Rhinolophus ferrumequinum: one gene and its partners. The protein of the gene in region 1 interacts with the protein of each later gene in a pairwise test. Links are inferred from orthologs where the notes say so. Each region holds a gene or a part of one and is shown in the gene's direction. Other genes may lie near its edges. The genes, in order: PPP1CC, SH3RF2, AATK and TOR1AIP1.

The links.
Region 2: the proteins of PPP1CC (region 1) and SH3RF2 interact in a two-hybrid assay, tested with the Homo sapiens proteins (2 studies listed by BioGRID and IntAct). The link is inferred for Rhinolophus ferrumequinum from reciprocal best matches to the Homo sapiens genes PPP1CC and SH3RF2.
Region 3: the proteins of PPP1CC (region 1) and AATK interact in binary tests that used the Homo sapiens proteins (3 or more experiments, as listed by UniProt). The link is inferred for Rhinolophus ferrumequinum from reciprocal best matches to the Homo sapiens genes PPP1CC and AATK.
Region 4: the proteins of PPP1CC (region 1) and TOR1AIP1 interact in binary tests that used the Homo sapiens proteins (3 or more experiments, as listed by UniProt). The link is inferred for Rhinolophus ferrumequinum from reciprocal best matches to the Homo sapiens genes PPP1CC and TOR1AIP1.

What each region holds. Positions count from the first base shown.
Region 1 is NC_046308.1:6,336,633-6,344,358, reverse strand, and holds the start of PPP1CC (serine/threonine-protein phosphatase PP1-gamma catalytic subunit), read left to right. Parts: upstream 1-4,721; 5' UTR 4,722-4,915; coding exon 4,916-4,970; intron 4,971-7,726. UniProt on the Homo sapiens protein: Protein phosphatase that associates with over 200 regulatory proteins to form highly specific holoenzymes which dephosphorylate hundreds of biological targets.
Region 2 is NC_046307.1:19,167,366-19,175,214, forward strand, and holds the start of SH3RF2 (E3 ubiquitin-protein ligase SH3RF2), read left to right. Parts: upstream 1-4,830; 5' UTR 4,831-4,945; intron 4,946-6,005; 5' UTR 6,006-6,111; coding exon 6,112-6,489; intron 6,490-7,849. UniProt on the Homo sapiens protein: Has E3 ubiquitin-protein ligase activity. Acts as an anti-apoptotic regulator of the JNK pathway by ubiquitinating and promoting the degradation of SH3RF1, a scaffold protein that is required for pro-apoptotic JNK activation.
Region 3 is NC_046304.1:54,201,863-54,209,052, reverse strand, and holds the start of AATK (serine/threonine-protein kinase LMTK1), read left to right. Parts: upstream 1-4,190; 5' UTR 4,191-4,278; coding exon 4,279-4,333; intron 4,334-7,190. UniProt on the Homo sapiens protein: May be involved in neuronal differentiation.
Region 4 is NC_046305.1:12,610,130-12,617,621, forward strand, and holds the start of TOR1AIP1 (torsin-1A-interacting protein 1), read left to right. Parts: upstream 1-4,490; 5' UTR 4,491-4,899; coding exon 4,900-5,377; intron 5,378-7,048; coding exon 7,049-7,126; intron 7,127-7,492. UniProt on the Homo sapiens protein: Required for nuclear membrane integrity. Induces TOR1A and TOR1B ATPase activity and is required for their location on the nuclear membrane. Binds to A- and B-type lamins. Possible role in membrane attachment and assembly of the nuclear lamina.

The sequences.
Region 1 (7,726 bases):
AACCTCCCTTTGCCAGACTTAGTTCCAAATGGCAGTGCAATCCACCCTCCAGACACCAGGACAGCTTGCTGCTTTCCCGACCGCGGAGTGAGTCATTTTGTGAAGCTACGGAACATTTAGCAAGGCGGTAATCATCCTTATTTCTCTGTTGGGTAAGTCCAGATGGAAGTATATTTAGGGCCTTCTCAGAGAGACACACCCAACATCAACATGGACTCCATGAGGGCCAGGGATAGTTCAAGAAATTTGGAAAGGCCCATCTAAACCCCGCTCCTCGGAGAAGGCTTCTGGACACATCCCAAAGAATCTACTCTCTCTGATCATGAGGAATGGCCATGAGCACAAAGACTGGCACACAGTAAGCACTCAATAAATGCTAGCTATTGTCACCATCATTGTTCTCATTATTACTATTATCTCTCCAAGTACATTGGGAAGTTCATTCTCACAACCTTTTGAGATGAGTGATATCCCCATTTTGCAGATGAGGAAACTGAGGCTCAGAGCATGGATGTTACGTTTTTCGTCAGCCCCTCTCCCTGATCTCACAGTTCCCACTCCTGCCGACCTATAGTCCATTCTCCTTACAGACACCAAAGGGATCTTTTAAAAATGAAATCAGATCTTCTTTAGGAGAAGATGCTCTCTGGCTAATGAGGTTATATGATGTTATACGATCCAACATTTCTTTATGATTTAGGTCTTTTGAAAAATTAAGAGCAATGCCACGCTTATGTAAGACATTAACATTAAGGGGAAACTGAGTGAATGGTATATGGAAACTCTTTGTATTATCTTTGCAACTTCTCAGTAAACCTAAAATTGTTTCAAAAAATAAGCTTATTTAAAAACCAAATCAGATCACGTCACTCCTCTGCCTAACACCCTCTAGTTGTTTTCCATTAGGCTTAGAATAAAATCTGTCTTCCTGGGGCCTACAGGGCCCGGAGTGATCTGGCCTTCGCCTACTTCATCCTTCTCTCCTAACACCCTCCCCCTCACACTATACTCCAGCCACTCTAGCCTTTTCTCCATTCCCCCAGTGCTGGAATATTGTTCCTACCTCAGGTCCTTTGCACTTGCTGTTTCCTTGATGGGGGACTACTCTTCCATGATTCTCTTTCTCAATCTTCTGATTTTGACTCAAATGTCAAATCCTCAGAGTTTCTCTACTATGTGGTGACATGATCCCTTCTAATTCTCTCACAAAACTCATGATTTTCTGGAATTACCTTCTTTGACTGTTTCTCTGTTCCTGTCTGTCTCCTCCACTAGACTGGGAGTTCTATGAGAACTATGCTGATTTGTTCACTGCTATGTCCCCAGCTTCTCACACAGAGGAAGGCCTCAAGAAACATTTGCAAAAAAACAATACCAGTGTCTGCTGGTAATACCACAGGACATTGAAATAAAGCTGGGGACTCTGTCGAAGGGCTTTCACCCGTATTTTTTCCTACGGTTTCCTACTTTATACAAAACCTTCACAATATCCAAGTAGGTCCAGATTTTCTGGCAAACCTCATCAACAACATTTCTTTGAATCATTTAACAATAATAACGCTCATTAAATTGGAAGGGGAAGAGTTCACCCCCAAAATTCTAGAATAGAGTTACAAATTGTTGGCCTAGGGCCAAAAGTAGCCCACAGATGTATTTTGTCAGCCTCACACAGTGTTTTAAACGAATTGGAATTCATGACCAACTTAAAAATTGGAACATTTCACATAAAAATCCATATGCCCCAAATTCAAGTTCTCTTGAAAACTCAGAGGATCTGGCCACACCGTATCCCACAAGGCTCCAATGGAGCAGAGTTGGGAAGTGGCCACACCTTAGATGGCTCTCCAATTCATCACACACAGTTCCTACCCACCTGTGGTTTAATTCTTTCATGTTACCAGCTTGGCCCATTTAGGCACAGGGTCCTCAAAGCTTACAGTATCCTTAGAAATACTATTGGTTCAAATACTTTAGCTACACCCCCCCGCTTCAAATCTTTTGTGAAAGCTCAATGTCTAAAGCAGATAATAGTAATAATAGTTAATTTTGATAGAGTGCTTACTGTGTGCTATGGTTCTTACGTTGGTTGACTCCAGGAGTTGGGGACCAGAACCCTATTAGCTCCCCATCATCTTCAACAAGCCCCTAAAAAGCTCTGTGGATCCAAGGAAGACAGTTCGAAAAGTACATTTTTATCTACTCTCCTCATTTTACAAATAGACAAACTAGAGAGGGGAAGGGACACACCATCTATTTAGACAGTAGCTTTTCTGGCAAATGCTTGTCGGCTGGTCCTTGGGGAGGTCAGAAAAAGGCCAGTAGGGGATAAGGTTTTTCGTCCCAGAGCTGTTGGCTGTGTTCTGGGAGCTGTTCAGGCCTACTCTGTGAGCTTATGCCAGTCTCAGGCTCAGAGCCAGCTACTTCTTTTACACGCATGCCAGCAAAACTGGACTCTGGAGGGGAGTAGCCCAGCAAAGAATGGCGTGTGGACAAAGAGGCCCTCCCCATGTCCCAGTCCAGTCTGAAGTCCTTCTCCAGCCCCGACGTCAGCAGATGTTAACACACCTGCTATTTTGTATATGGAAAATTATGGCACTCTCACTGTGGGTGGAGACACACTTAGATCAGTCCATTGGGTTCCACATTTGTTATGTGCCTAGTGTGTGCCAGGGTTGTGCTGGGTGCTGGGGATTCAGTGGGGATTTATTGAATATAAGGGCTTTAGTTTCTGGCTGTCCTGAGTTCCAGCCCTGGCTCTGTAACTTACTACCTGTGTGACCTTTGGCAAACAACCTAGCCTCTCTGTCTCATTTTTTTTCACCTGTAACATGGGTGTGGTAGGAATAGCACATAATTTCTAGGATTGCCTTGGGGATTCAGTGAGATAGTTTTGGGCACATACTAAGAAGATGAGTACAGTGTTTGTTTTCTTTCTCCATTGCACTTATTAGAAGCTGATATTTTTATTTGCATCTTTGTTTATTGTCTGTCTGGCTCACTAGATGACTCTCCATAAGAGAAGGGCCTGGTCTGTCTTGTTCACTCCTGCTTCCATTCCTAGAACAATGCCTGGCACAGAGTAGGTGCTCCATAAATATGTCTGCTGAATGAATCGCTTTCATATTCCTGCTCTAATTGTCATTGCCAGGATGGCCCTGTTCTGGAGGAGCCCAGAGTCTCAACTCGTCCAGGGAGAGCCACCCTGCCCTCCACAGCCAGCTATTCACAACAGCGCTGGGCATCCACTCCGAATGTCACCAACAGGGCTCTGTGCCCTGGGCTGACAAACAACACTTGTGTGTGTTTTCTAGTGAACAGAGCCACAGCTCTGGAGAGTGCAGTTGGTGACTGGGTAATGAAACAAGTCGCTGAGCAGAGCAGGGGGTGCTCTGAACCTCAGCGCTCTGGAGACAGGAGCCGGTCCACGTGCAAGGACTGGCGCCCTGCTGTGCTTACCACCCCCACCCGCCACACACACACACACACACACACACACACACACACACACACGTCTAATCTGAGGATGGATGCCCGGATGGTGCAATCACCTCCATGGCACTTGGGGATGGGAATTCGTGCACCCTGCGTGCCTTGAAAAACAAAAGGAATTTCTCAGGGGAGGGGAAGGGCTTTGCAAACTGTAAATCGCTGCAGGAAAAAACAGAAATTAAAAGGTCAAGATCCAAGAGAGCAGATGTGTTTTCTGAGTGTGGGCTGTACATCCAAACCCAGATAAAGGAGACCCGCAAAGCCCGGAGGTGTTTGGGGGCTTCCTGTGGAGAGATGGACTTGGGGAGGCTGGGAGGCCGAGGAAAATGGGCCAAAGTTTCCTCGCGTGTCTGCAGAACCCAGGACCTGCCAACAATTCCTGCCCCTGCAAACTCGCTCTTCTATACCGGCCTCCAACTCCAACGCGCGATATCTGCAAATTCTCCCCTTAATTGCTACAAACGCTCGTTCTCCTTCGTTCTGGCTAGAATCAGGGTAACCTTTCACATGATTATATAATTTACCGAGTTCAAGAAAGATAACCCAAACATAAGGACGATGAAAAAAATTGAGGGTAGATTAAAAAATTTTTTTCGCCAAATGTAAAAGTTATGGAGCGCACACAAAACATATATACAAATACCCATATTCCCACCCCTCAGAATGAATAACTGTTAACATTTTGATTTATCTGGGAGAAGATTCTTTTTTATTATTATTAGTCACCAAATAAATCTTTCTCTTTCCCGCCAAGTCTCAGCAAATTTGAATCCAAAATAAGTCAATCTACTTCTATTATTCTCCCTCTCCACCTCCAGCCTAGGTTTATCTTAAGGAGTGAATTCCAGGACCCCCGAATTCCTTCGCTGGGCTTCCACATAGCAGGTCAGCAAACATCTGGCCCCAGTGAACAGCATCCCGCGGAGGCCTTAGTTCTAGGGCGCACAACATCTTTTCCCCCATCCTCAACTACCGCGTGTAACTTTGCAATTCACGCTCCCGCCAGGGGGCCTATTTGCTCGGCCCGTTTGGCGGAAGGATCCCACGCGCGGTCGCAGTTACGCTAAACCGTCTCCTCCCCCATTCCCGCGCTCTGGCCCCGCCCCCTTCTCGCGCCCTGTCCCCGCCCCCTCCCGTGCGCCCTATGGCCCATAAAGAAGTCCCGGCCGGGCCGCTGCACTCCCCCGCGCGCATCCGTGCGCCGCCCGAGGCTGCCTAAGGAGTCGGCGGCCATTTTGTTCTTCTCGTGGTTCCAGTGGGGAGAGAAGGAGGAAGCAGGGAGCGGGGCGGTTGGGGGGGGACCCGCAGCGGCTGCTGCCACCGCCGCCACCACTGCCGCTGTGCTCGTGGCGTGGGAAAGGAGGTGTGAGTCCCGGGCGCGAGCCGCCGGCGGCGCCGCTGCGGGAAGGTCGGCGGTGGGAAGGCGATGGCGGATATAGATAAACTCAACATCGACAGCATCATCCAACGGCTGCTGGAAGGTGAAGGGGGCGGCGGGTGGGCTGAGGGGAGGTGGGTGGCCTCGAGGGCTCGCGGTGGGGGGAGTTGGGAGGCCGGTTGGGCTTGCACAGCGGAGGGGAATGAGCCCGCGAGTTGGCCCGCGGGCTGGGGGCTTCTGCCGGAGGAAGGCCGGCCTGGGTCCGCACTTGGCCCAACCCGCGGACTCTCCCGGCTCCACTCATTCATTGCACTCGAGTGCAGCCTTCTTCCTGGTCGTGGAAATTTGAAAACTCTGCTCCCCACCCCCACGTTTCCGGTCGTACCCCCTTGCACCCCATAAACCGGACCAATCTTTGGAGGAGAGAAGGTTAGGGACCCCAGTCCAACCTGCAGGACGGCGTGTTCCGTAATTTCTGGTACTCGTCCTCTCCGATAAAGCGATTTGATGGGATGTGGGTTCCACCGGGTTGAAGGGCTTCTATCCTGTCTTGCTCATTTTTATTTTCCCTGGAGCTAGGGTCTGGGGGCTCATTTCTTGTTACTTAGTGACCAGCCTTCACCTCTCAAGGGAATGTTGGAACCCATCTTCTCCTGCGCTCCCAAATACTCTTTTCAAGTCGTCTTTTATCTTGAGGTCTCCGCGCTCTTTTCTGAACGTGAAACCAAGGATGATGACAGTTTCGTTATGATCTTTCCTATGTGCCAGGCTCTGTAAAGCGCTTTGCGTTCGTCTAATAAATTACAATCATGATAGCCAGCGCTTACTATGTGTCTGGATTTTTTTTGTTTTTGAGCACTTTACACAGATTCATTTATTCTGCCACCAGTTTCTGCGAGGTAGGTCCTATTGTTTTTTCCGGTTTTTCAGAAGAAACTAAGACACAGAAGTGAAGTCACTTGACCAAGGTTACACAATTAGTGACAGATTTCAAATCCAGGGAGCTAGGACGCTATGTGTGAAGGAAGGAGGTGTCCAGTGGTTAAGCGAAGGTTAAAATAAAGCTTTGGCTTTGGCTGACCTAAGACTCGTGAGATGCATTGCAATTGATTCGTATTGATGTGGGAGACGGAAGAAGTTAGGATCTTAAAGAGGGACGCTGGAGTGAACTCCCTCCTCCGCCTCCGGTTCCCAGAGCCCGTCTACTTTGGGAGATTTCAAATCCCTTTATTTGGGCACGGGATAATGTAGATTTGGCTGAGTTTTAACTTCTTTAATGCCTTTACATTATCCTCCTAGAATATTGTTGGACTATAAATACTGTGAGATGGAGTTAACAGCATGATGAACATGGAGTTAGAATTTTCAGATCTTTTGAATTAAGTCATTAAAATGAAATTCCTGAAAATATGTTTTCTTAATCTGTGCGGGGTATTTTCCTTTTATATGTTATTAAAAGAAAAGGAAAAAACCTACTGAATGGACCCCTGAAAAGCTCTTGAAATGCCATTCCCATTTGTGGGTGAAGACCTTATCATTCATTCAGTACCTGCATTTATTATAAGAACCATGCTTTTCATACTAGTTAATGCCGTTCTTTGATTTATATGATGCAGCAGTGGTCCAGAAACAATTGAACCAGTTTGCAATAAGAAAGGAACTTTTTATTAAAATTTTCATTTAAAATTTTGAAGTTCTGCACTTCTCTGCAGGGATGTATGGCTAGATTGGGGGGGGGGGGCTTTATTTCACTGAGGAAACAGGAAAATGTGAAATCTATGGATTAGAAACAAAATTTAAGATCAGTTAAGTCTCGTTAACTTAAGTTTTGGTTTGCCCATAATTCTATTCACATAACAGATTTTGTAAATTTTAGTCTTATTTTTTAAATTGTGCTAAGAAATTTGCCTTGGTAAACTTGGATCATTTAAAATGAAATCAGTCATTGTTTCTTAATAGTTTCTCTCTGTTGTTATATTGTACTTAAAAACCAGATTTAAAAATTTTTTTTGTTAAAATTAATATAGAGTAGTATGTTTTAGTGCCTTGGGAAAAGGCCAGCTGCACAGTATACTTATATTCCTTTTTTTATTTCTCATCGATGTTAAGTTGGCAGAGAAATGGTGATGATCTATTGAATATACATATACACACATGTATACTGTGTTTTCCCGAAAATACGACCTAGCCAGACAGTCAGCTCTAATGCGTCTTTTGAAACAAAAATTAATATAAGACCTGGTCTTATCAGGTCATAATATGATAAGATATAATATACTGGCGTCTTATATTAATTTTTGCTCCAAACGACGCATTAGAGCTGATTGTCCGGCTGGGTCTTGTTTTTGGGGAAACACGGTATGTATAGATTCAAGTTAGAAGATGTTTATAATACATTTTGTGATTTTTGTAATTTTCCAAAAACCCTGTTCCCCAAAAATTTTAATTAAGATTTAAATATATCTGAAAATGGAGGCAGTGTGATTTTGGGGGACCTTGTTAGAATTTTTACATGTTCAGAATTGCCTCATCTTTTAAGCTAGTTGAAAAGTAGCTCGTTGATAGTACTGAAAAGGCAACTCAAAAGTGAAGTCTTTAAGAAAAACAACATGTTGATTTAGATCTTAGTCACCGGCTTTGCAGTTCTTTTTTTTTTGCACTTTCAGTAGTTTTTCCTTAAGCTAAGTATCACTTGTGCAACCCACCTTAGAAGCTCTTATCCAAGTTTTGCCTCGTTGATGATAAAACTTTATAAGGTTATTTCTCTTTTTATAACGAATGTTTGATTGTTTAAATAACTGCATGGTAAAACTTGGATTTAAGAGAGAAAATAAGCTAGCTGCTGATTTGGTCTCATAT
Region 2 (7,849 bases), on another chromosome or scaffold:
TGGCTGGGCGTGTTCTTCTTTGGGTTGAGTTTGAGTTAGAGTAAGAACCATCTGGCTCTTGGTCCTCTGATGGCATCTGCCTACCCAAAAAAGAAGGAAGATGAGAAGAACCCTACATCTATTAAGCACTTACTGTATGCATCATTTCATTGACTCCTCAGCACAACCCAATGGGGTAGGTCCTAGTAGTAACCTCATTTTATACATGAAGAATCCAAGGGACAGAAGAATGAGTAATTCGCCCAAGTGATCTCTTTAGTAACTGGCAGAGCTGTTAGATTCCAGGTCTGTTAGACTCCAAAACCATGCTCTTGACTGCTGGTTCATACTGTTTCTCACTAAACTTAAGGACCATAAGTCATCTCTAGAAAATGTGGGATGACTCTTTTTCCATGCCAGCAGTTTGGGTCACTTTCCTGTAGGTCTGATGACTGCATAGGAATACCCTAAAGTTCACGGCTTACCTGCAAACACCCTTCTGATTGAAGAGGAACTCTCACAGTTGATTTCATTGCAGGCCTACAAACAAAGAAAGACATTGTTTTATAGACCTTCAACCCCTGCCATTCCTCTTTCCTTCACATTTCCACTATTGGAAAGGTGCCCACTTTCCTCTAATCCTTCCTCTCCTTGAATGGTTCCAAACGTTTCCCGGTATCACTAGAAAACCAAAACATGGGGGGAAATTCAGCATCATGAAACAGATCCTATAGATCCATTTAAATATTTAAAACATATATCCAAATTTCTACTAGGTACTGAGGGAAAAAGGCAGCAAGAGTCCAATGATGGCTAAGAGAGTCTTCATGACCCCTGCAGTTAAAATGCTTCAGCTTTCCAGCTACCTGGACTCCTTTGGTGGATTTATGGATTGTTTTACAAATTATTAACTTTATGGCAAAGAGCCAGTCGAGTGAAAAATAGCATACCTCTAAAATTATAACTCCAATAAATAAGTACATATGATTGACAAAAATTGTCTGTACATTGGTTTTGTGATTTAATTTCAAATTTTCACAAAACTATCTTAGCCTGAGACAAAGGCCTGCTTGCTTCAGGGTAATTTATTTGGGATCAGGGGTTAGGGATGGAGAAGTGCTACAGGGAATGAGGGAGAGAAAACACAAGGATGCATTATTGCATTAGCCACCCAGTGGAAAAGTGGTATTCGTCCCACAGAACCTTCTGAAGAACCTTAGGAAATCTCAGGACCATCTGCTCCAAATGCTGAAAAGGGAAGCATTTATTACCCACTAAATGTGGTCCACACTTGGGTGTGGAGCAGATTCTCATTGGTGTCCCAGATGACATCATAGAACAGCTCTAGGGCAGGAGGCAAGAGGTGCATGGCAGGGACCTGAATGGGGTAAAACTTCTTAGCCTGAGTAAGAGATGGGGCCGAGAACATTCAGAGTGGCACCCAAGCACTGTCCAGTATAAAACCATTATCAACAGTTTGATGTACAACTGCCCAGACACAATTTTTGAAGAACACCATTCATTCATAAATCCATTCAAAACCATTCATTAAGCATCAACTGCATGCCAGTCACTGTGTTACATATGAGGGGTAAAGCAGTGACCAGACACATAAGTGCCTTGCTCTCTTAGAGCTTACAGTCTTTGGGGGGATCAGGCATTAAATAAATTATTACGTAATTGTTGAACTATAATTATCACAACTGTTATGAAGGAGAAGGGTAGGGTAAACTTTCCAGTCATGAGATTCAAGGAGGGCTTCCCTGGGGAAGTGGCATGCGAGCTAAAACTTGCTGTGGAGGGGGTAAAGAAAGCAAAGGGGGCAAGAACAGAAGAGAAGAAGAGGAAAAGTGTAACTAGAAAGTGTGTTGCAGACGGAAAGAAGAGCATGAACAAATGCCCTCTGGCAGAAAAACTTAAACTGTCCTGAGTAAAGAGAGAAAGCCAGTGGGACTGGAGTGGGTGAGTGCGGGGGAGACATGGGGGTAAGTTGAGGCAGGAAAGGTGAGCAGGAGCCAGATGATGTCAGGCCTGACGGGAGAACAAGGCTTTGATTTTAATCCTACAGTCAGTGGGAACCTACTGAAGGGTTTTGAACAGGGGAACGAGGCGATCAGATTTGCCTTTTTTTTTTTTTTTACATAAATCAAGATATACTTGTAAATACAAGCAGCAGAAGCTCATAAATGTCACACAGGTATTTACAAAAGAGTACAATCTATAATCACTACATAACAGTACAAATATAAACAGGAGTGTTGATGAGGTGGGAGCCGTGGAGGGGGTGGCCTGAGCCTGGAGTCTGGGACGGTGTGCATAGGTCACCTTTTCTGTTTGTTTTTGAGGACTAGATGTTCATCTGATTTGATGCCAAGGGTAGCACTTGGGTAAGCCAAGGTAAAATCCCTGCTTAAAATTCTCCCCCTTCTTCAAAAGCTTCAAAAGAAAATTTCTCCCCAAGTTTCAGTGAAAATTAACCTCTGATGTGGCTGGTATTGGGGACCACCTATAGGGTGTGATTTGAGAAATGCGAAAAGACCACTCCTGTTCAATGTAAACTTTCTCTGTTCTCCACTGGTGCCTAAGAAGCTACCATCACAATTCTATTCTGCTGAACCTTCGATTGCCAAATAAGCTAGTACGGAGCAGCCCACTGGATCTATCCTGCCTTCCTAGGACAGAGCTGGGTTTTATTTTGTTTTCTCGGGGATGGGAGGATTCGAAGGTTTTTGAGACCCCTGGCCCTACAGGAGCATGGAGGACACCATGAGCCTGGGCAGGTTACAGAGAGTGGGCTCCTTTGACTTCATCATTTTGTTTTGAGCAGGCCCTGGGATACAGCTGGTGTGTACAATATGGATACTATGTATAAATGTGTGCGGATTTACACAGCCAAGTATATGGGTATACTTAGGACACGCACATAACTTTATAACAGGGAGCAATAACAGTAAGGAACACAGGCCCTGGTACTGGGCCAACCTGGGTTCAGATCACAAGCCTTGTAAGCCTAGGAAAGTGACAGCGCCTACCTTATGGCAGGCGGGATTCAATGAGAAAATCTGTTTAGAATCTTGGCCCTGGTCCATGGCATACAGCAAGTGCTCTGTAAATGTTACTGTTAAGATCACCTGTGTGTCCTCATGCAAGCATGTGTGTGCATGTGCCTTAAGTGCAGATTTGGGCACCTAAGGGAGATAGAGTGTGTTTAAGAACAAGAGGGAAGGAGGAAGCATGTTCCCCAGCCCTGCAGCAAGAGTTGGGCCCTGGAGCAGACCTTTCTAGAGGCTGAGAGGACCGCAGGGCAGCTCACAAAGGAGAGAGCTCAGCTTTACCAAGTGGGAAACAGAGTAAGGCACCGCAAAGGGCCTCAAATTACAAGGAGCTTCCTGATGGGCACAGAATCTATAAAAGTGGAAATAATTGGAGACCGACAATAGAATGGGATGCGATGTTGTTGAAGCTCAAACTACCCTCCATAAAGGGGAGACTGAAAAAAAAAAAAGAGTTGAAAATGGTCTCTGAAGTGGACACTTCTCCAAATTAGACTTCTGTGCTCAGACGACAATTGACTTTGCTCCATCCTGATTCTCTTCACTGTTTTGAGCTTCACGCGTGTTTGCTTTTTCAGAGCTGACATGGAAGAACTTCGAAAAACATATAAACCACCATCCTCAGTTCTCAGGCCGTTTTTTCCCCTCTGAATATTTGCCCAAGCAGTGGTATCTAAGGGCTTTCTGCATTATACAGAAGTGCCATCCTTAGGTGGAGAGAGAAGATGCAGGAACGCCCGGTTTCTAGTCCCAGTTCTGCCCTTACCTCACTGGGCAACGTCAAGGAGTCTCTCCATCTCACCGGGCACAGCTGCCTCATCTGCAAAAGAAGTTGATTGGTCAATTTGGGTCATTATCTTTTGACTTCCTGCCATCCCAGAAGAGGTTTAGCTCCCTACCATCTCTCCTCCCCCTTAAAGCTGTATCATCACATGACATGGTACTTAAGAGTACAGACCACCTGCCTATTGCTAGCTGTGACTCCTGGGATGAGTGATTTATGTAACCTCTCTGTGTCTCCATTTCCTCCTTTGTATCATTGAGTTGCTAAAAGGATTAAATGAGTTAATAGAGGTAAAGAGTTTAGAACAGTGCTCGGCACGGATAAGGGCTACTGTGGTGTTAAGTAATATTATTATTATTTACTTTATTAAGTACCTTGGTTACTTTACATGAAATATGCTATTGATAAATCAAGAAATAAAAGGATAAGCATTATTTGGGGCTGTGAAAAAATTCTCCGGTGGGTAGGGGGCCGGGGGAGAGCTGGGACCATTGCTTTTCCTCTTTTTAAATTCCCTTCTGTGCTTTCATTTTTTCAAGGATGTGTATGTACTATTGTCATTTTGTTTTGGACGTGCCACTATTTTTTAAATTTAAAGAGATTGAACCAAAAGATCACTGAAGTTCCCCTCAAATCCCTAAATTGACTCTGATTTTTAAGGAGTAATACTTTTTAGGTGGCCTGCTTATCTTTGTTATTGTACCTACCTTTTCAGGAAATCCTCATATAGGTTAAAAATAAACAGTCACCTTCGTATGTTTATAACTGAGCGGGTTTCGACTTCTTGGACGAGAGAGAAAATGAAAAAGGTGCAAATATAAACTATAAATACTTGGCCGTAAGGGCTCACGTGTTTTGCCCCTTATAATCTGTTACATAAAGGAGGGCTCAGTAGCAGAGTGAACTCAAGGAAAACCTGCTGCTGGCCGCCCGGCGGTGAAAGAGTTAACAGGGCTGGGTAAGGCGATCCCTTGAAAGGAGTAAGACTCGGAGTTGTTAAAGTTTTCCAAGCTGCGGCAGGCAGCCAGGCAGGCAGCGTGGCTCCTGGGGAAAAGGAAGCAAGTTGGAGGGAGCCTGGCAGAGCCGTGGATCCTGCTGAGCTGAACTCAGCAGAGGTTACAAGCTCAAGGTCAGTGGTCCCCGCACAGTTCCTCAGAGCTGACATCTTTGGGGAGTTGTGTCAGGAAGGCAAGGCACCATCTCTCATCCTCGTGTGCCCAGTCTGCTCTGCTTCCTAGTGGGGCCACCCGCCGTCCTGCTGAACTTTTGGGGGGGGGGTGGGAGCTGGTGGCTGCGTTCACTCAAGCGTTGGCCCTTGTGAGGGACCCAGGACCTATTCCCAGGAGACTTTTCTAAACTGGAGACTTCTTCTTTTCAGACATCCAAAAGGAAACTTTCTGGAACAAGCGCCCCTCCCCACACACACACACACACCCCCACCCACCCCCACCCCCACACACCTGTGTATGCTGCTCCATCTTGGTTTCTGCAGGCTGTGATCACAATCCAGAATTCCTATCTGCTTCTGTTGAAACTGAGAACAATTGTCAAAGTAGCTAAACAGGCTGCATGACTTTTTCTTGTGGGAGGAATATTGTCTCTGAGGCTATTGTCTGTCACTGAAAATGAGTTTCTAGTAGAAGTTTTTCTTGTACATTGCTAGAACAAAATGATGGAGGAAAGACGCAGTGGCAAGGAAATAGTTCTACATCGGCATGAGATTCCGAGAAACTTACCCATGTACACTTGACTTGTCTGCATGTGGTGCGGGTGATAGAGAAACTGAAACCTAGGGAAACAGGGGTAGGTAGATCATAGCTGGCTTCACAGAAACTGCATCCTGAGGGAGCTTTAATTTGAGAATTGAAACCGTCTTGGGTGGTAAAGGACCCTCCTCGAGCCCTGGCTGGAAGACAGGCTAATTCTGTCTCCCTGTTCTTGCCTTCCACACAGAAAAGCAATGAGTAAGTAAGTAGTCAGTCACCGTTGAAGGCTCCCTCGGATCCTGCAGCAGGCAGGAGTTGGGTCTTATACCTGCAAGCACTGAATCAGAATGAGTCATCTGAAACTTGGGTGCTGGAACAAAGTACTTGCAAACTGCCTTATGAGACACTGCCTCCATGTAGGTGGGGTATAGCTCTCAGAGCAGTCACATTTTTTTCTCCTCTCATCCTTTCTCCTTCAAACAGGCAGGAATTTTGACGCTCTCAAGAGACCGGCTCTGCCCCCCTGGCTTAGCTAACCCTACAATGTGGACTCTGCCCCTGCTGCTCAGGATTGGAGTTTTAAAATAAGATGGATGATTTGACGTTACTTGATCTTCTGGCGTGCCCCGTGTGCTTTGAAAAACTCGATGTCACAGCCAAGGTCCTCCCTTGCCAGCACACCTTCTGCAAACCATGTCTCCAGAGGATTTTCAAGGCCCACAAGGAGCTGAGGTGCCCCGAGTGCAGGACCCCGGTGTTTTGCAGTATCGAGGCGCTGCCGGCCAACCTACTGCTCGTGCGCCTGCTGGATGGTGTGCGCTCCGGGCAGAGCTCAGGGAGAGGGGTCTCCGTCCGCAAGCCTGGTGTGCTGACCTCACAGGACAGCAGGAAAAGCAGGACTAACCCCAGAGGCCTGCAGTCCAGCCCTTTCCGGCTCGTGCCGAATATCAGAATCCACATGGATGGGGTAAGAAAGATCTTATTTGTTCGTATTGTGTCCCCCTTGGAGGTTGGATTTGTGTATGCCGGGAGTGAGGGGTTATCACTTTCAGTTAGGTTTCAAACAGGTGCTGCCAAGGATTCCTCAGAGATCAGTTTCTGTGGGCGGCGACCATTTTACTGAAATTTGGTGGAATCCTGAGGCTACCTGCTCATTCCAGGAATTCTTTTAGAATCATGAAAGCGTCCCAGGTTCTTCTTGCTTCTTGTCCAGAAGTTAGTAGGACAAGGAAAGCCTTCTTGATTTTATTTTTGGTCTTTCGCTTCTGTTCTGAGGCTAATCCAGTGCACAGAAAAATGCAGAGGACGGAGGGGAAACAGAGAGAAAACAAACTCACATGCATGTGGCTTTGGGGAATCTTGGAGAAGTTTCCAAATGTCAGGTTTTGTTTGAATTTTACCCAGATCCATGTTTCCACCCTGGTCCCCGTCATAAAGTGCTATTATGACAATGTTCATTCATAATCTATTCAAAGCTATCAAGGTACTTGACGCCCAAGTAGGGTACAGGAGGGAGGTGTGTGTGTGGGTGGACTGATGAATAGGAATGGCTGGGCTGTGAAGCATAGATGTGAACAGGGGCCCCGCAGATATGTCTTACTTTACAAAACGAATAAAACACACATCACATGCACATCAGCGGCTGCAATTAAAAACCGAACGGGCCCAGCAGGGCCATATAAGGTATCACCCAGTGATGTGTTTGGTGTTTGGACAACGTGAGTCGCCATCAGCCTTGTTGCAGGAAGCTGTGTAAGGGCACGTCTCGAGAGAAGGACATGGTCCTGTGAGTCCAGCAGGATTATTTGCACTGTCACCCCAGGAGTCAGTGTGCCAGCCTGAACATGGCAAGCTGTGTCCTGACCCGTTGGCATACTTAGAAAGTCAAAGCTGCATTCTGTGCAGTGTTACCTATTGCGAGCTTTAAAACAGGCAGCAGCATTCCAGGACTTGGGGCTGTGAAGAGTAGCAGTGGGTGGGAGCATCTTCTGGAGTCCTTCCCAGCGAAGGAGAATGGGCTTGTGATGTGTGTTCCGAACGATTTTCTAAAATATTCCTTCCAACAGTTCACTCCTCCTTTGGTTCACTGCACCTTCAAGCCGCCCATGCGGGACGGGAGTGTGGAACCAATCAAACATGAGAGCGGGAAGAAGCGGGGCGTTGGTGCGGGTTCTTCATTGCTTTTTACTGCCATTGTGCTTGTATGTGTGAACACATTCCAGAAAAGGGCTTGACACTCTTCTTTAAGATTTCCCATTAGTCCTAGGTCCAGCCAGCAGTCAGAACTCACAGGCCTGGAAAAGGCAGGATGGGGGTGGGGGAGCAAA
Region 3 (7,190 bases), on another chromosome or scaffold:
GTGGGGGGGGGCAATGTGAGTACAAGGGGCACCTGCCCCCTCCCCCAGCCCCAGCAGCAGCAGCAAAGGGGTGGGCTGGGGGGCAGGTATAGGGATGTGAGTAGGGGGAGCCGGCTGGGTGATGAGTTCTGGCGGGGAGGGGCATCCTGGAGCCCTGTGATGCCCACTGCGGTACCCAGCAGGTGGGTTTGTGGGCTGGAGCTGGGGCAGCAATGATGATGTGACTTATTATTATAGGAGGGACTCCAGAGGTGCTGACCCTGTCCCCATGGCCCTGTCCCGTGGCTTTCCCCTCTGCAGTAGGGGAAATGATGCCCCCCAAAAGATATGTCCATGTCCTAACCACCCCCACGGGTACCTGTGAATGGGACCTTGTTGGGAAATGGGTCTTTGCAGATGTGACCAAGATGAGGTCACACTGGCTTAGGGAGGCCGCAAGTCCACTGACTGTTCCTTACAAGAGGCTACCATGGAGGAGGAGCCAGGGGACAACGGAGGTCCCAGGCAGCCGCTGTGTTCCTGCTCCCGCCTTGATTCAAAAGCGTGATGTTTTGTGTTCATCCCAGATTTTCCTCATTAATTTTGACTCTAAGATATTGCAGTAAAATATTAGTTGCCTTAATGCCTAAGTTTGTTTTTGACAGCTTTATTGAAATATAATTCACGTATGTAGCATAGAATTCACAACTTTGGACTGCACAAGTGAGTGTTTTTAACAGCTTATTCACAGGGGCTACTTGCAGAGTTCCATCACCCCCAACAGAGGCCCTGTACCCCTTAAGAGTCACTCCCGGTTCCTCTGTCCCCGGGCCTCTGACAGCCGCCAATCCACTTTCCGTCTGTGCGCTGGGGGAGTCTCGGGACCCACATAAGTGGGATCATACCTTTGTGTCCGGCTCATTTCACTGAGCGTCATGTTTTCGAGGTTCATGCGGGTTGTAGCATGTCAGCACCTCACTCCTTTTTATGGATCAATAACATGCCATCATGTGTATCCGTTCACCTGTAACATGCCATGGCGTGTATCCATTCATCTGCTGATATGATTGCTGAGTTTTTGTGCCTTTGGTGTCTCACTCACCTCACCTGTGTCCAGTGTGGCCCCCACCCCACCCCACATGCTCCTGAACGTGGGAGGCCTCTCCCCTCATCCCACTAATGCCTCAGGCTTTCCTGGGTCTCCTCTAGGCCCAGCCCTCTGCAGACACTGCTCCGGCTAGGCCTGGCCCCCTCAGGTCAGCTCCTTCCAGGGAGGATGCTCGCCCTGCACGGTCCCTGGCGTGGGGCAGGCAAGACTTGTCCTTACCACTGTCAGCCACAGTGCCCCTGTCACCCCCGTACACTCAGCCTAAGGCTCCTGCCAGTCAGCTTGGTCCTCGTGGGCCCAGGTACACTCCTTGTCCTGTGGTACAGGAGTCAGGAAGCGGCGTCCCTGCCAGCCTGGCTTTTGTGCTTGAAAGCACATCGTGATCTGCCAGTACCCCTGGGGCAGTGGTCACCCTGGTCACCCAGGTATTGGTACCCTGCCCTCACTACTGTGAGGCCTGGCCCCTGCTTGAGCTGTGGAGGGCTCTGTGGTGCCCTGCCTGCCCCCAGGTGGTGGGAGGGCACGTCTTTAGGGACCTCTTGCCATCCTGAGATCAGCAGAAGCCAGCATGGTAGGGCCCCCAAGGTGGACTGGCTACTGGTCACCCCCAGACTTGCAGGTCCCCTCCTGCCCACCCTCACCCTTGCATGCCCTGTTCATTGGGACCTATCCCTCTCCTTGCCCCTGTCCCAACACTGTCCAGGAGGCCCAGGGCACGAAGCATGAGGTTTTGCCACTGGGACTCAGGTCCTCTGCTCTTTCTCAGAGGCGAGGACACTGGCCCTCAGGCTCCAAGGCCCAGGAGAGTGTCAGGCAGACCCGCTTGCAGGAGGCCAGCCCCCAGCCTCTCAGCTCTGCCTTCCCCAGGGCCGCAGGGCTCTGTCCTGCCCATTCGCCCTTGTCACACCATCTGGGGGCCTTGGGGGACCTGGAAGGACAGCAATTCTGGTCCCCATCTCCAGGTAGCAGGCTGACAGACCCTCCCTGTAAATTCCAGTGCCAGCCTCCCTGCACGACTCCGTAGAGAGCAGTGAGGGTGTGGTCGCTGGCCACACATGGGAAGTACTGGTTGAAGGGACAGATCAATGGTGGTGACGGGGGACTCGGAGCACCTCCAGTTCAACAGTCACCAGGCCAAGGGAGCAGCAGGACTCTCGTTCTGGTGACATCTCAGAGGACCCTGATGTATGGGGCAGAACTGGCATCTGGTCAAGTGGGATGAGAGTGTTGGCCCTGGAGCCAGAGGGTCTTCCCCTCCCCCACCCGGACCCCAGAGGAGGACCTGTAACCCTAAAGTCCCCGAGATCTGGCCCTTCCATGTGCCAGTATATGCTGACGTGCATGGGTTCACGGGCAAACCCAGGTCATGGAGAGCCGTCTTCCGACTCTGATTACTGAGGCCAGCCATGGTGGTGCAGAGGTTCTGGATAGAGGCAATTTAGGCCACTGGTCACCCCTGCCTGTCCCCAAGGAACCTCCAGGTGTCTGGGTCCCCTTCCCGAGTGGGTAGAGGCAGGGCCATCCCGATGGGAGTTGTGCAGTCTTGGGCTTGCCTCCTTGGTGGGAAGGGGAGGCCTCCAAATAGGACCCAGCCCCCCACACTGGGTGTAGTCCTGGATCGCAGCCCTCAGCCATCAACGCCACCAGTGGCCTCTGCCCCTCCTGGCTCTGGGATCTGAGCACGTCTTACAGGCCAGGCCCTCCACCAGCCACTACACCTGTAGCTCCTTCCTCCTCCACCCGCCTGTGGGGCAGAACGACTCAGAGCAGTAGCCACACAATCAGGGCCATTAAGAAGGTTCTGGACAACGGTCCCTCTCCTCAGGCCTGAGGTGGCATGGGGCCTCCCACACCAGGGAACCCCTAATGTCTGAGGGAAAGGGGGGCCCCACAGGAGCCACCCTAGAATAAGAAGGGAACATCCTGTCACCTTCTACCAAGGACTGACTGGTCCTCACCACCCTTTCTGTGTCCCTGCCCGGCCCCCTGCCAGTAACATTGATCCTTGTTCTCCCCAAGGCCCGCGGGGCCCTGCTGAGGGTAGGTGCCCCCTCCTCCTGCTCCTACCCCCCCTTCCAGCTGGGCCCTGCCAAGGGGCTTTGCTCATCTGGCCAGAGAATGAATGGGTGGATGGATGGATGAGTGGCTCAGTTGCAGAAAACTTAAATCTCGGCTACACTGTAATCCTCCGGGTTCCCACGGTGTGGGGAGGGGCTGGGTCCCCAGACCCCTGCCGCCGCGCCCCCACCTGTCCTGCTGTGCTCTCCACCACCGCGTCGGTGCAAGATGGCGCGGCACGGCGCGCGGCGGCGGGAGGGGACAGTCCCTAGGTGCCCGGCGCCGCCTCGCCCGCCCTAAACGCCCGGTGCTGATCACACCAGGCGGGGGAGGCCGCTCCTTCTATACGGTTGTCGCAGCGTGGCACGGGCGTGCTCGGTGTGCAAAAACAGCCCTCCGCACGCTAGCGCGGGCGCCGCCCAAAGGGCGCGGGGGCCGGACCCCACGCTGCCTCAGAACCTGCGTGTGCAGGCCGCGTGCCGGCCCGACCCCGTGAGCGTGGGCCCGGGCGCGTCCCCGGCCACCCTGCGCGCGCTTTCGTATTCTGAGTGCCACGGTGCCCACCCCCGCGTTTGCTGCCGTGTCCCCGTGCCCCCCCGCGCCTCCTACCCCCTCCCCATCCTGCGTCTCAGTGTCCCACTCCCCGCGCCTCCGCGCCCTCCAGCCTGCAGGTCCCCCTTCCTCACGTTTTCGCGCCCCCCAAGCCTCCGCGCCCCCAGTCTCTGTGCCCCTCAGCCTCCCGTCTCCCCTCCGCGCGTCTCCGTGCCCCCCCAGCCTGCCGGTCCCCCTTCCGCGCGTCTCCGTGCCCCCCCAGCCCGGGAGGGAGCCACCCCCGCGCGCGCTCCCGCCAGTGTTTTCGGACTGCACCAGCCCGGGAGCCCGGCGGCGCCGCGGCCAGCCGGGCGGAGGCGCCTCGTCTGTCGCCGCCGCCCGCACCCACACCGCACTCGCACCCCGCTGGCCCCGCAGCCTGCCAGCCCCGCGGCTTCGTCTGTGGGCGCTCGGCCGGCGCGGCGGGCAGGGCGCGCTCCGCACCTGCGGCGGCCGCCGGGCGATGGCTCGGCGCAGGCCGGGGCCGCGGGCGTCTTGAGCGCAGCGCCGCCCCGGGTGCCCGCGAGCTGCTGGCCCTGGCCATGTCGTCGTCCTTCTTCAACCCCAGCTTCGCCTTCAGCTCGCACTTCGACCCGGGTGAGTCCTCTCGCCGCGCTCCGCCGCCAGCCTGCTGCCTGCTGCGCTGCCCCGCGTCCCCCACTGCGGACATGATGCTTCCTGAGCCGCCGGTTCCTATTTTGCATGGAAATTAACCCCTTCCCCACCCACAGAAGGACTGGCTCTCCGTCGGGACCCCCTAGAGGCCTGGGGCCGGTGAAGGTGGACAGGCCTGGGGGCCGGTACCCAGCACAGCTGAGGCCTCCAGCAGTGTGGGTGGGCAGCAGAGGTGCGCCCCCCACCCCTGTGTCTCTGTAGACGTTTCTGGTACAGATAACTGGGGCAGGAGGGCCTGTATTTGCCCCAGGTGTCCAGGTGAGAAGGTTGCCAGGACTGAGGGCCCTGGGGGAGGTGAGGGAGTGCCCCCACCCCTGCCCCTGGAGCCCAAGCCCCCTTGGCCCCATGCTGGCCCTCTGTCTTAGCATGGGAGACTCCTTCCCAGGCAAGGGGCTGGGGCTGGGAGCCAGCAGCCTGCGTGCAGAGGTGGGAGCAGTGGCCGCCCTCGGACACAGCCCACCGGGCAGAGGCTCTAAAGAGATGGGTCTTAGTGAGGCCTCAGAGAGCAAGGGAGGCCGGGGCTGCACGGCTGCTGGAGTCCTGGGGTCAGGCCTCTTACCCCAAGTGGGTGGCCCTGTCAGCGTGTTTGCCCATGGCTGCCTGGCCCCCTGGGGTGGGCAGAGGGGCCCCGGGATAGCTGGAGACCTGCATCTTCCTTGTGCCTTCAGCGGCTCTGGCCCCCCTTCCCCAAGTGGGAGATTAAACCCCTGCCCTGGAGCCATGGCCCAGGGGCCCAAGGTCCACCTACATGTCACTGAGGCTCCAGCACAGGCTAATCCAGCCCAAACAAAGCTGGGCACGCACGTGACGAGCTCTCCTGGGTCCCCTCCCTGGAGCAGGGCCCAGTGCGTGCAGTGATGCACAGGGTCCCCTGGGCACAGCCCCATCTGAAGGCATTTGCTCCTGCGAGAGTGGAGCTGGCAGCAGGGCTGTCTGCTGGGCGTAGAGTGTGGGTGTCCCTCTCTCAGAAATGACTTCCCAGGCGTCTCCCAGGGCTTGGAGAACATGATGTCACCCCTGAGGGCTCGGAATCCAGGCCGAAGCCCTGGCTGGGCCCTGAGGGCAGGGGGTGGAGGTGGCCCTGCTGAGCAGCCCAGGCCCAGACAACCTTTAGGGTCCTGAGTCCTGTGCTTCCGGCAGTGTGTCTGCCGGGAGGAGGGGGTCCGGCTCAGGCCTCCTGGCGTTGGAACTGTTGGCAGTGTGGGTGCCAGGATGGGGGAGGCCCTCTCCACACCCTGCCTCTTGCATGCTCTGTGGGGCCCAGACTTGCCCTGTGTGGGATTGTTACCCCCTTTCTACACCTGGGTGCACTGGGGCACGAGCCCCTGCCCCCACCTCAGAGAAACAGCGCAGCTTTGCCTTGTGTTTGTGTAAACAGCTATGATCAGTGTAATTATAATGTCAGTTTAATGACTTTCAGAGAAAAGTTGTCAGGAGACAAGGGGTGGCCTCCACTGTGCGGGTCAGTGAGGGGGAGACCTGTGTCCACTGCAGGAGGGGACGTCCTGGATGGTGGTACTGGGTAATGGGCTGGGGTGCAGGGCTCGTTTGGCCTCCATGTGAGCATTTGGGAGGAGGAGAGATGGGGTCCCCTGCCCTGCTGCTAGACATCCAGCTTTCAGAGCCTGGCACCCACCCCCTGGAGTCCCACAGCCCAATCTTATCTTCCTGAGCCTCAGTTTTCTCATCTGTAAAAGGGGCTAGTGACCTCTATCCCTCCAGGCCCGGGTGGGGGTTAGGTGCCTGGTGAAAACTTGATGTTCAGTAAACAGAGACTGCTATTTTGGGGGTTGGGGAGGTGCGTGGAGATAAGGCCAGTGTCTTTATGGCTTTTCTCTATCCCTGAAGTGGAGCGAGATGGCACTTTTCAGGTCTGCTAATGTCTGTGGGGGGACCCAGCTGGGGGTCCACCAAACTCGGAGGGCAGGGGATGCTCGTGTTCCTGGCCATCTGAGTTTGTTTCTGTGGTGCTCAACAGTCGGGGGGCAGAGGGGCTAGGCCCGGGCCTGGGCAGAGGGTCCTCCCAACGTCGCCAGGCAGGCCTGCTGCCATGTCGGCTCTCCATCCGTCGTGGAGTTCCGTGGCTGTCCCCACAGAGAGGGCGCGGCGGAGTAGGTGTATCGCAGGAAGCAGACTGAGTTTGAGGCTCTGGTCCTAGGTGCACCCTTGAGCGCGGCCTGGGAGCTGGGGGGTGGGGGCATAGGCCGGACTGCCTGCTCCTGGAGTGATGTGGCCAGTGCAGGAGGGCATCCAGAGGGCTGTCTGCTCTGGGGCCCAGCTCTTCCCCAGGACGTGGGTGACTGGGGATTTCCTAGCAGTCTCAGCCCCGTGACCTCAGTGCTGTGTGGCCTTGGGCCAGTCACTCAACTTCTCTGAGACTCAGTCCTGCTAGGTGAAACCTCATTCTGGGGAGACCAGGTAGGTGGGGCTGAGGGCTGTCGAGGGTGCCACGTATGGTCAGGAGCAGCCGGGCTGGCGGGTGTGGCCTTGAGGGAGCGTGGTGGCTTCTCCCGCTGGAGTGCTTTGAGGCAGGGCGCTGACCTTGTTTCTCACCCGTCCAGTCTCAGGCCTACCAGGTGCCCGGCGGGTGGCTGTGGTCTCTGGGCAGGAGGCTGCTGGCCAGGAGCAGGTGTGAGGACACCATCCCCCTCCAGCTTCTCCCTAAGGACCCCCTGGTTGCAGGTGGTGGATCAGCCCCGCCCTGACCCTGTGGCTCTTGCCATGCCTCAGTTTCTTAATCTGTAAGGTGGGAATTACTGTGGTGCCCGCCCACTTCTCA
Region 4 (7,492 bases), on another chromosome or scaffold:
GGCCCGCGGGCCGCAGTTTGGACACCCCTGCTCTATACCATTTCATGTAAGGGACTCGTGCATGGGCGGATTTGGATTTTCGCAGGGGTCCTTTACCAATCTCCCATGCATACGGGGGAAGACAATAGTTGAGTTTTTCCACTGGGCTGGGGTCAGGGCCCCTAACACCACCCACCCTACCCTGTTGAAGGGCCAACTGTAAATCTGAAATTCCTGTTCCTGACCTACACCAATTCAAGACAACATAGAAGAAGCCTACACACATAAATCTCACTTGCCCTTTCCTCATTTTTTTCTCCAAAACACTCTCACACCCTATTTTACTTATTTTGATTTTTATCTGACTCCTATAGAATATAAATTCCAAGAAGGCATGGAGCGTTGTCTTTTGGTCTGTTCTTTCATTGCTGTATCCCCAGCACCTAAAACAGGGTCTGGCTAGTGCATAGCAGAGGCTCAAATATTTATTGGATTAATGATTCTTCATTTAACAGTGGTTTTTGATACATTCCCCTCTCAATCTTCCTCTTTTGGTAGAAGTCAAAAGACTTATGAACATTCTTAGATACTGTTTAGTAACTGACTGCAATTTCTAACTCAACAAAGAATAAGTGGAAGAATATTATACTGGGTTTAAATTTTCTTAATTTCAGTATAACACTTCCAGCTAGCCAGTTTCATTTATATCAACAGTCTTCAAAATATTTTGTCTATCACTCGTGAGAATGGGGAATAAATGGAACCAGCTACTATGTCTTTCATTCCCTTCCTCCTAATATTTTAATCATTATTTCCTTATTAAAAATAACATGTTGACTTCTTCCTATATTTATGTATTTTATCTGAAAAGTTTAAGTGTACTGAGAAAAGTCAGTACACTTTTTATGTCAAATTGCTGGAATTTATAAGTATGCTATTCTATTTGGAAAAGAGACATTTTTATTTTAAAATGTGAACTTCTTCCAGTCACTAATTTACAGTTACAAATAAATATAACATTCCATTTCTATATGATTTTACAGCATATAAAGAATTTTTACAAAACTTTTCATTTCTAGTTTAGACTAAAAATGTATTTAACAGAAGAAAGGAGTCTGGACATCACTTGATTAATTTCGTAAGTAAGTGCTTTTGCAAATATGAATACTACATCAATGTGGCCAATAAATGATAAATCTTATATTTGTTTAAAATGTACCAAGATAATTGTGAATCACTGTTTTAAAAATTAACTTATTTTGAATAATTTTAGATTTTCATAAAAGATGCAAAAATAAGTGATCTCATATACTACTGTACTCCTCACCCAGTTTCCCCTAATGTTGACATCTTACATTCCTATAGACTATTTGTCAAATAAGAAACCAACACGTTTGATATATTACTATTAACTGAACTCCAGACTTCATTCAGATTTCACCTGTTTTTCCACTAATCTCTTTTCTTTTCAGGGTTCAATCCAGGATACCACATGGCACCTAGCTAAATCACTTTTAAAAGTAGTAATTTCTTAAATTTCAAAGGAATGAAAAGAAGCACTTCCTTACCTGCTCTATGCCAAAATTTCATGTGTTTAATTCCAGCTGTAATTAATCAGGCATGTAGGGGTTCATCTTTACAACAATTTATTCCTCTGAAATAAATACCAAAATGTTTTAATTCTGAAAATAAATCTCTCCTATAATAATCTTTTGCCTAATCCATACTCTATCTTGATTACCCCATTACTGAATACGTGGGCCACTTGTCTCTCAGGTTTGTGCTATGTAATCATGCATTGGTATATTTATTATTTTGTCATTTTTTACTAATCTCTTCTCAACAGATTCTTAAAAGATAGGAACAGCTGAGAATTGTACTATGCCTAAGGAGTGCTATTTCTGGCATGAATGAGTTAAAGAAAAATTTTCATAATACTTCATTCTAGTTTAATATAGCCTTTCCAAATACAAAGTTCCTCTTAAACCTTTTATTTGGGCACTGTCTTTATACTGTGAAAAAAGCATTTATCTGTATTTTTAAAGTGCTTTAATATCTCACTTTAAGGAACAGGAAGTTAAATAGTTTAAGACACTTGACTATTTCCTCCTTCAAAGAAATTAGTATTTTTATTATAAATACATGCTCATTGTAGAAAATTCAGAAAATGAAAAGTGTAACAGAAAAATTTAAAAATATATAGCTTCAAAAAAATAACATTGTTGCTTTCTACTAGGATATAACCCCAAAGTGACTTGCTTATCTGAGCACACAAATATGACTACCATGTACAATGGATTGATAAATGACTCCTCAGTGTATATAACTGGATTTCTGCTTACCCTAAAAAACTCATATACAAAAATGATTTTAAAATGTTTCATTTAAAATAGCTGCTTTATTTTGAAATCTAGTGTCAAGAACACTAGATTTTTGAGACCTAGAACAGCTAGGTATATTGCCAGTCATTTAATCTGAATTATAATTGTTTGTATATGTCTCCCTAATACATGGCAAATTCCCAAGGGATAAAGAATACATTCATTTAAAAAAAATTTTTTAATAATTAAAAAAACTCATTAATTTAATCCATATATTTATTAAACACCTATTCTGTGCCAACATAGATGTTTAATAAATATGTGAATTAATGAGTGTTATAATTCTTTGTTATAATCCTTTCTTCTCTTACCCGTCTTCTCCTTTGATTCACTGAATTACTCTATATATCTCACATTCCCAGAGTAATTGTCTAACACCCAGAGCTCATGCCTCCACTTGGTATTGGTGGCCCAGCAATTCCCTTATAATAGTGGCTGTGAGTCTACTGTCTCTGCAGCGTCACCTCTTTTGGACATCCCTACAGTTTGGAAAACATTTACAGCAGAATATCTAGTTTGACTAGAGTTTAGCTTTGCCTCAGCTTTTTGTGATGCAAGTTGGTATTTGTAAAGTTGCTAGGTGTGGAAGGCAGGTATGACGGAGCTAGGATTATGTATTATTACACATGGATTGATGAGTCAATAATATGTAGAACCTCTTGTCCTTTCTCTTTTTTAATATGTCCCCCAAACCTAAGTTTACAAGTCTATATCCAAGTTTCTATATAGTCACCTGTTCTGATGTTTTAAAAAGGCTTTTAATATATGCACTAAAGTTCATAATATGAACTTTGTACTTTAATACTATAATTTTATATCTCTTAATTACATTACAGAACTTTTACTACCATATGTTAATGAGTAATATAATTAGCACCTTATAAAGCATGACTTAAAACAAATAAAACCCAGGTATTAAGCAAGTACCAGTACTTTTCAACATTTTATCAGAAAGTAAGTCCCACAAATTTTCCAAATATACTATCTAACCCAGGCTGACAAGGGAGAATATGCCTTTAGTTTTCCCTTAAAAGACTTTTTTTTTTAAAGTAGTATCTCCCTTGTCACTGTTCCTCCAGTTTCTTTGGCTATATTTTATATACCAAACAAAGCTAGACTAAACTAACAGGCTAAAACCTGATTCTCTAAAGTATGTAATTCCTTGTGTCTGTGACCAAATACTATATGGCCAAATATATTAGTGAAAACATAGTACATCTTAACATTTCATTAAATCGAAATTTGTGCCCAGTTTGAGCAAATGAGTTACTCAAAAGCATTCTAAGGTGATTTAAAATACTTGAAAGCATAAACAATTAAATACCTTCAAAATTTTCAGAATCCTTCATTTTAATTCGTATCATCACAATTTTTAAAATCTATTTACCAAAATCAATTATAAAACATCCTCCATGAAAGTGTGCAGTTGAAGATAACATTAATCTGTTTCAATAATTATTCAGACTTTTTACTAACTTAATGTCTTCCCTCAGTGTGTCTAAATTTGGTTGCCGATTATCCACATCTGTAAATACGGTATTTGGAGGTGAAACAAATAGTGCTTATTCATACTTTCTTATTCAGTAAAATAAACGCAGGAAACTGTAAATCAAATGCAGCGTATCCAGTCAGGTCCAGCATCAAAGTAAAAATAACGGACCACAGCTATAATTACAGCTGTCTTTAACCTACGAATTTGTTCATTTCCCTCTGTCCATGAACAGCACTAATAAACTTTCACAACAGTGCTACTGAAATAGAGCTTTTACACAAAAGCCAGGAATATGACGTTTGCTATGCGTGTATTTTGCAAATGGGAATCCACCCGAGTATGTCGGGAGTTGCGATTTTATACTCTCAACAGGTGACTTAAAATTTAAAACTGGGTAACTGCTTTCATAAGGAGCTTGAGACCAAAATTTTCTCTAAGAAAAGATGACACAAATGTATCTTTATCAGTCATCACTCCTGCTAGAGACATTTCCAGGCACGGCTAAGGTAGCAGGGGATCAAAAAGGTTCCAGAAAAACTGCGCAACAGCCTGGGGCTGGGGACTGAAACTTCTCCACCCCCGTCTCCCTCCGCCTTTCCAGAGACTCGGTATTGGGAGCCAGCTCCGGCGTCACCTGCGTGCGGGCAACAGTTGCCACGAGCAGCTGGGTTTAGGGCACGCAATTTGCCAAGCCAGTTGTCCCTTCTCTGTCGTCCCCTCCCTCTCCCCCAAGGCCGAGGACAGCGACGCCCTCCTCCCTCTTCTCCTCCTCTTTGGTGCCTTCAGCCAAGAGGCGGGAGTGACCCCACGAGCAGCTGACCCAGCACAGGCACTGCCTCTCCCACAGCCCTCGGACACACCATGGGCCCAGAGGCGGGATTGCAACACAGCAGCGACGACGCAGGCGGCAGCCCCGGCGACTCTCAACTGCCTCCCTGACCATTGCGACCACCGCCCATCACCCGGATAAGCCGTCGTCACCAACGGCAGGAGATTCTAGAGTCGTCAAAGCCATCTTCGCTATCGACTCAAGCTACGTCAACAACTATGGCGGGCGAGGGGCGGCGGGTGGAACGGGTGATGGTAGGATGGGGGATATACGTCACACCCAGGGCCCCCATCCGGGAGGGAAGGCGACGGCTCGCCCCTCAAAATGGCGGTAGCAGCGACGCGCCTGCGTACGGAACTCCTTCGCCGTCGCGCCACGGCCGGCGGGAAGTGAGGTTCTCCGAGGAGCCGCCAGAAGTGTACGGCGACTTCGAGCCTCGGGTGGCCAAAGAAAAGTCCCCGGTGAGAACCCGAATCCGACTAGAAGAGTTCCGGCCTGATTCTGCGAAAAAGGAAGTGAGAGAAAGCGCCTACTACCTTCGGTCTCGGCAGCGGAGGCAGCCGCGACTCCAAGAAGCCCGGGAGATGAAGACGCGAAGTGCCGCTCGCCCCCAGCAGCAGCACTCACCGCAGTCTCCGCTACAGCCGTCACCGGTTTCCACCCGGAGAGGATTACGGGACTCTCATTCCTCTGAAGGTGAGGCCAACGGAGGTAACAGCTCCAGCCGCAAGCTCAGGAGCGAGCGAGCGCGGCGAGCGGGCGGGCGGGCGCGGCGTGTGTACACGCCTCGGAGGCTGGTGGGCGTCCCCGCGGAGTTCGTCCCGGCCGGGGCTGGGGTGGCTCCCTCCCGCTGGAGGGAAAGCAGCACAGGTGGGAGGAGTGGAAAGGCAGTCAGTCGTGCGGAGCAGTGAGCAGAGTCGGGGATCTCTGCTCATCCCTGGGCATCAGTTTAGGAGTGTCAGGAGTGCCTTTCTGCGGTCCTTCACAAGGGGACGGCGAGTTAGGCGGCAGGCGGGACACCGAGTGACTCCGGGGTCGGTTTCATTTCGGTTTTCTCTGTCCTGCGGCTGTATCTACCAAAGCCACTTCCATTTCCTCCTTTGACACTCAGAGGCCAAAAGTCCCCAGCTGAGAATCAACGGTTCTGAGATGACCTTCCAGTGTTTTCCCATCACTATCCACGTGGGGAGAGAGGGAAGGAAATTTTGTGAGTGGGCGTTTTGTGGGCTAGCATAGTTGGTGAATTGACTTGAGACCCCACTCAAGTACATACACCGAAAAGGGGTAAGTCAGTTATCCCGAACTTGAAGCCCCCAATGTCTGATAAACTTGAGCACTGAACGCTCTTTCTCGACTATGATGGTCTCTGCCAAAAATTTGCCACGTTGGGGGCTCTACGTGTAACCTCAGTGGTTAAGTAGTAGCCTGACAAAGCAATACTTTTTTTTTAGTTTTCATCTACATGGGCGAAAAGGGTGCTGACAAAATGAATGTATAGTTTAGGTGAGTCACAGGTGAACCAACTCCCTTAATTCATCCTCTCCCACCTTGCACCCAACCGCGATCTAACGCTGAGTCACAAGTGAAGTTTCATGTTAGCCCCAGGTAAGGCACCTATGAGGTAAAAATCAGGGGGTTTGAATCACAGTGGGATTACATAGTTAGGTACACCATTGATGGATATGAAGAAGACACGGATTTTCAGTGTAGAGCAGCGAATAGGCTGCACGTTTACCTGCTGACACATTTGAAGATGTGCTGATTTTGGAAACTTTCTGTTAAAAATATGTAAGTTACTATAGGGTGTATTCACTCAATACAGTTTAGCCACAGATGTTAGTTTTATCGCTCTCAAGATTATAAAGTTCCTGAAAACAAAAATCCTACCAAATATATTTGAAGGACTATGTTGTACTTTAGTACTTATGTTAATTTCCTTCAATATCAGGAAAACTGTTTTGCACATATTTTTATTTAAATAAGTATATGTTAAATTGTATTGACTTGCACAGAGCCTAGTGCAGTTGTGTAAGTTAATTTTTTAACACATAAAGGGTTTATGTCTATTGTAACTATAAGGATCTAAATATTTTTCACTCTTCTGCATCATTGATGACGCTCCAGCTCATCTTTTAAATTTTCTAAAGTAATATATACTTTTGTTGTAAAGCATCAGTGATGGACAGTTTATTTTTGTCTTAAGAGTATTTCTAACTAGTTAAATTTATAAGTTTTGGTAAACCTAATTTCACATTTCTAAAGAAATGAATTACTTGCATTTTTGCTTATATGTTGCTATTAATATGCATAATCTCTTACCCAGATCAAATGTTCTGTATTTTGACATTTGTCATATTTATTCTTCAGAGGATGAACCATCTTCGCAAACTGTTTTAAGCCAAACAGTCTCAATGAAAACTACCAGGAGAGCACAAGAGACTCCAGGTAAGAAAAATGATTTAGGTTTTTTCCTTATCTGCCAACTTTAGTATACACATTATAGCCTGTTTAATCAAGGGTCCCAAATCATACCTCATTCAGAGTTTCAGTGAATGTTCTTTATAGGTGTTTATTGAATTAAGCAATGTGTCAAGAAAAGACAGGTTGCATACATGAGAACCTCGTAAGTACCACGCACTTTGTATATGTTAATTCATTCACATATGCACAATAGATACACCTGTTTTTGTTGCTGTTGTTTTTTTTTTAATTTTATTGGGGGAAAGTATGTTTCTGCAGGGCCCATCAGCTCCAAGTCATTGTCCTTCAATCTAGTTGTGGAGGGCGCAGCTCAGCTCCAAGTCCAGTCGC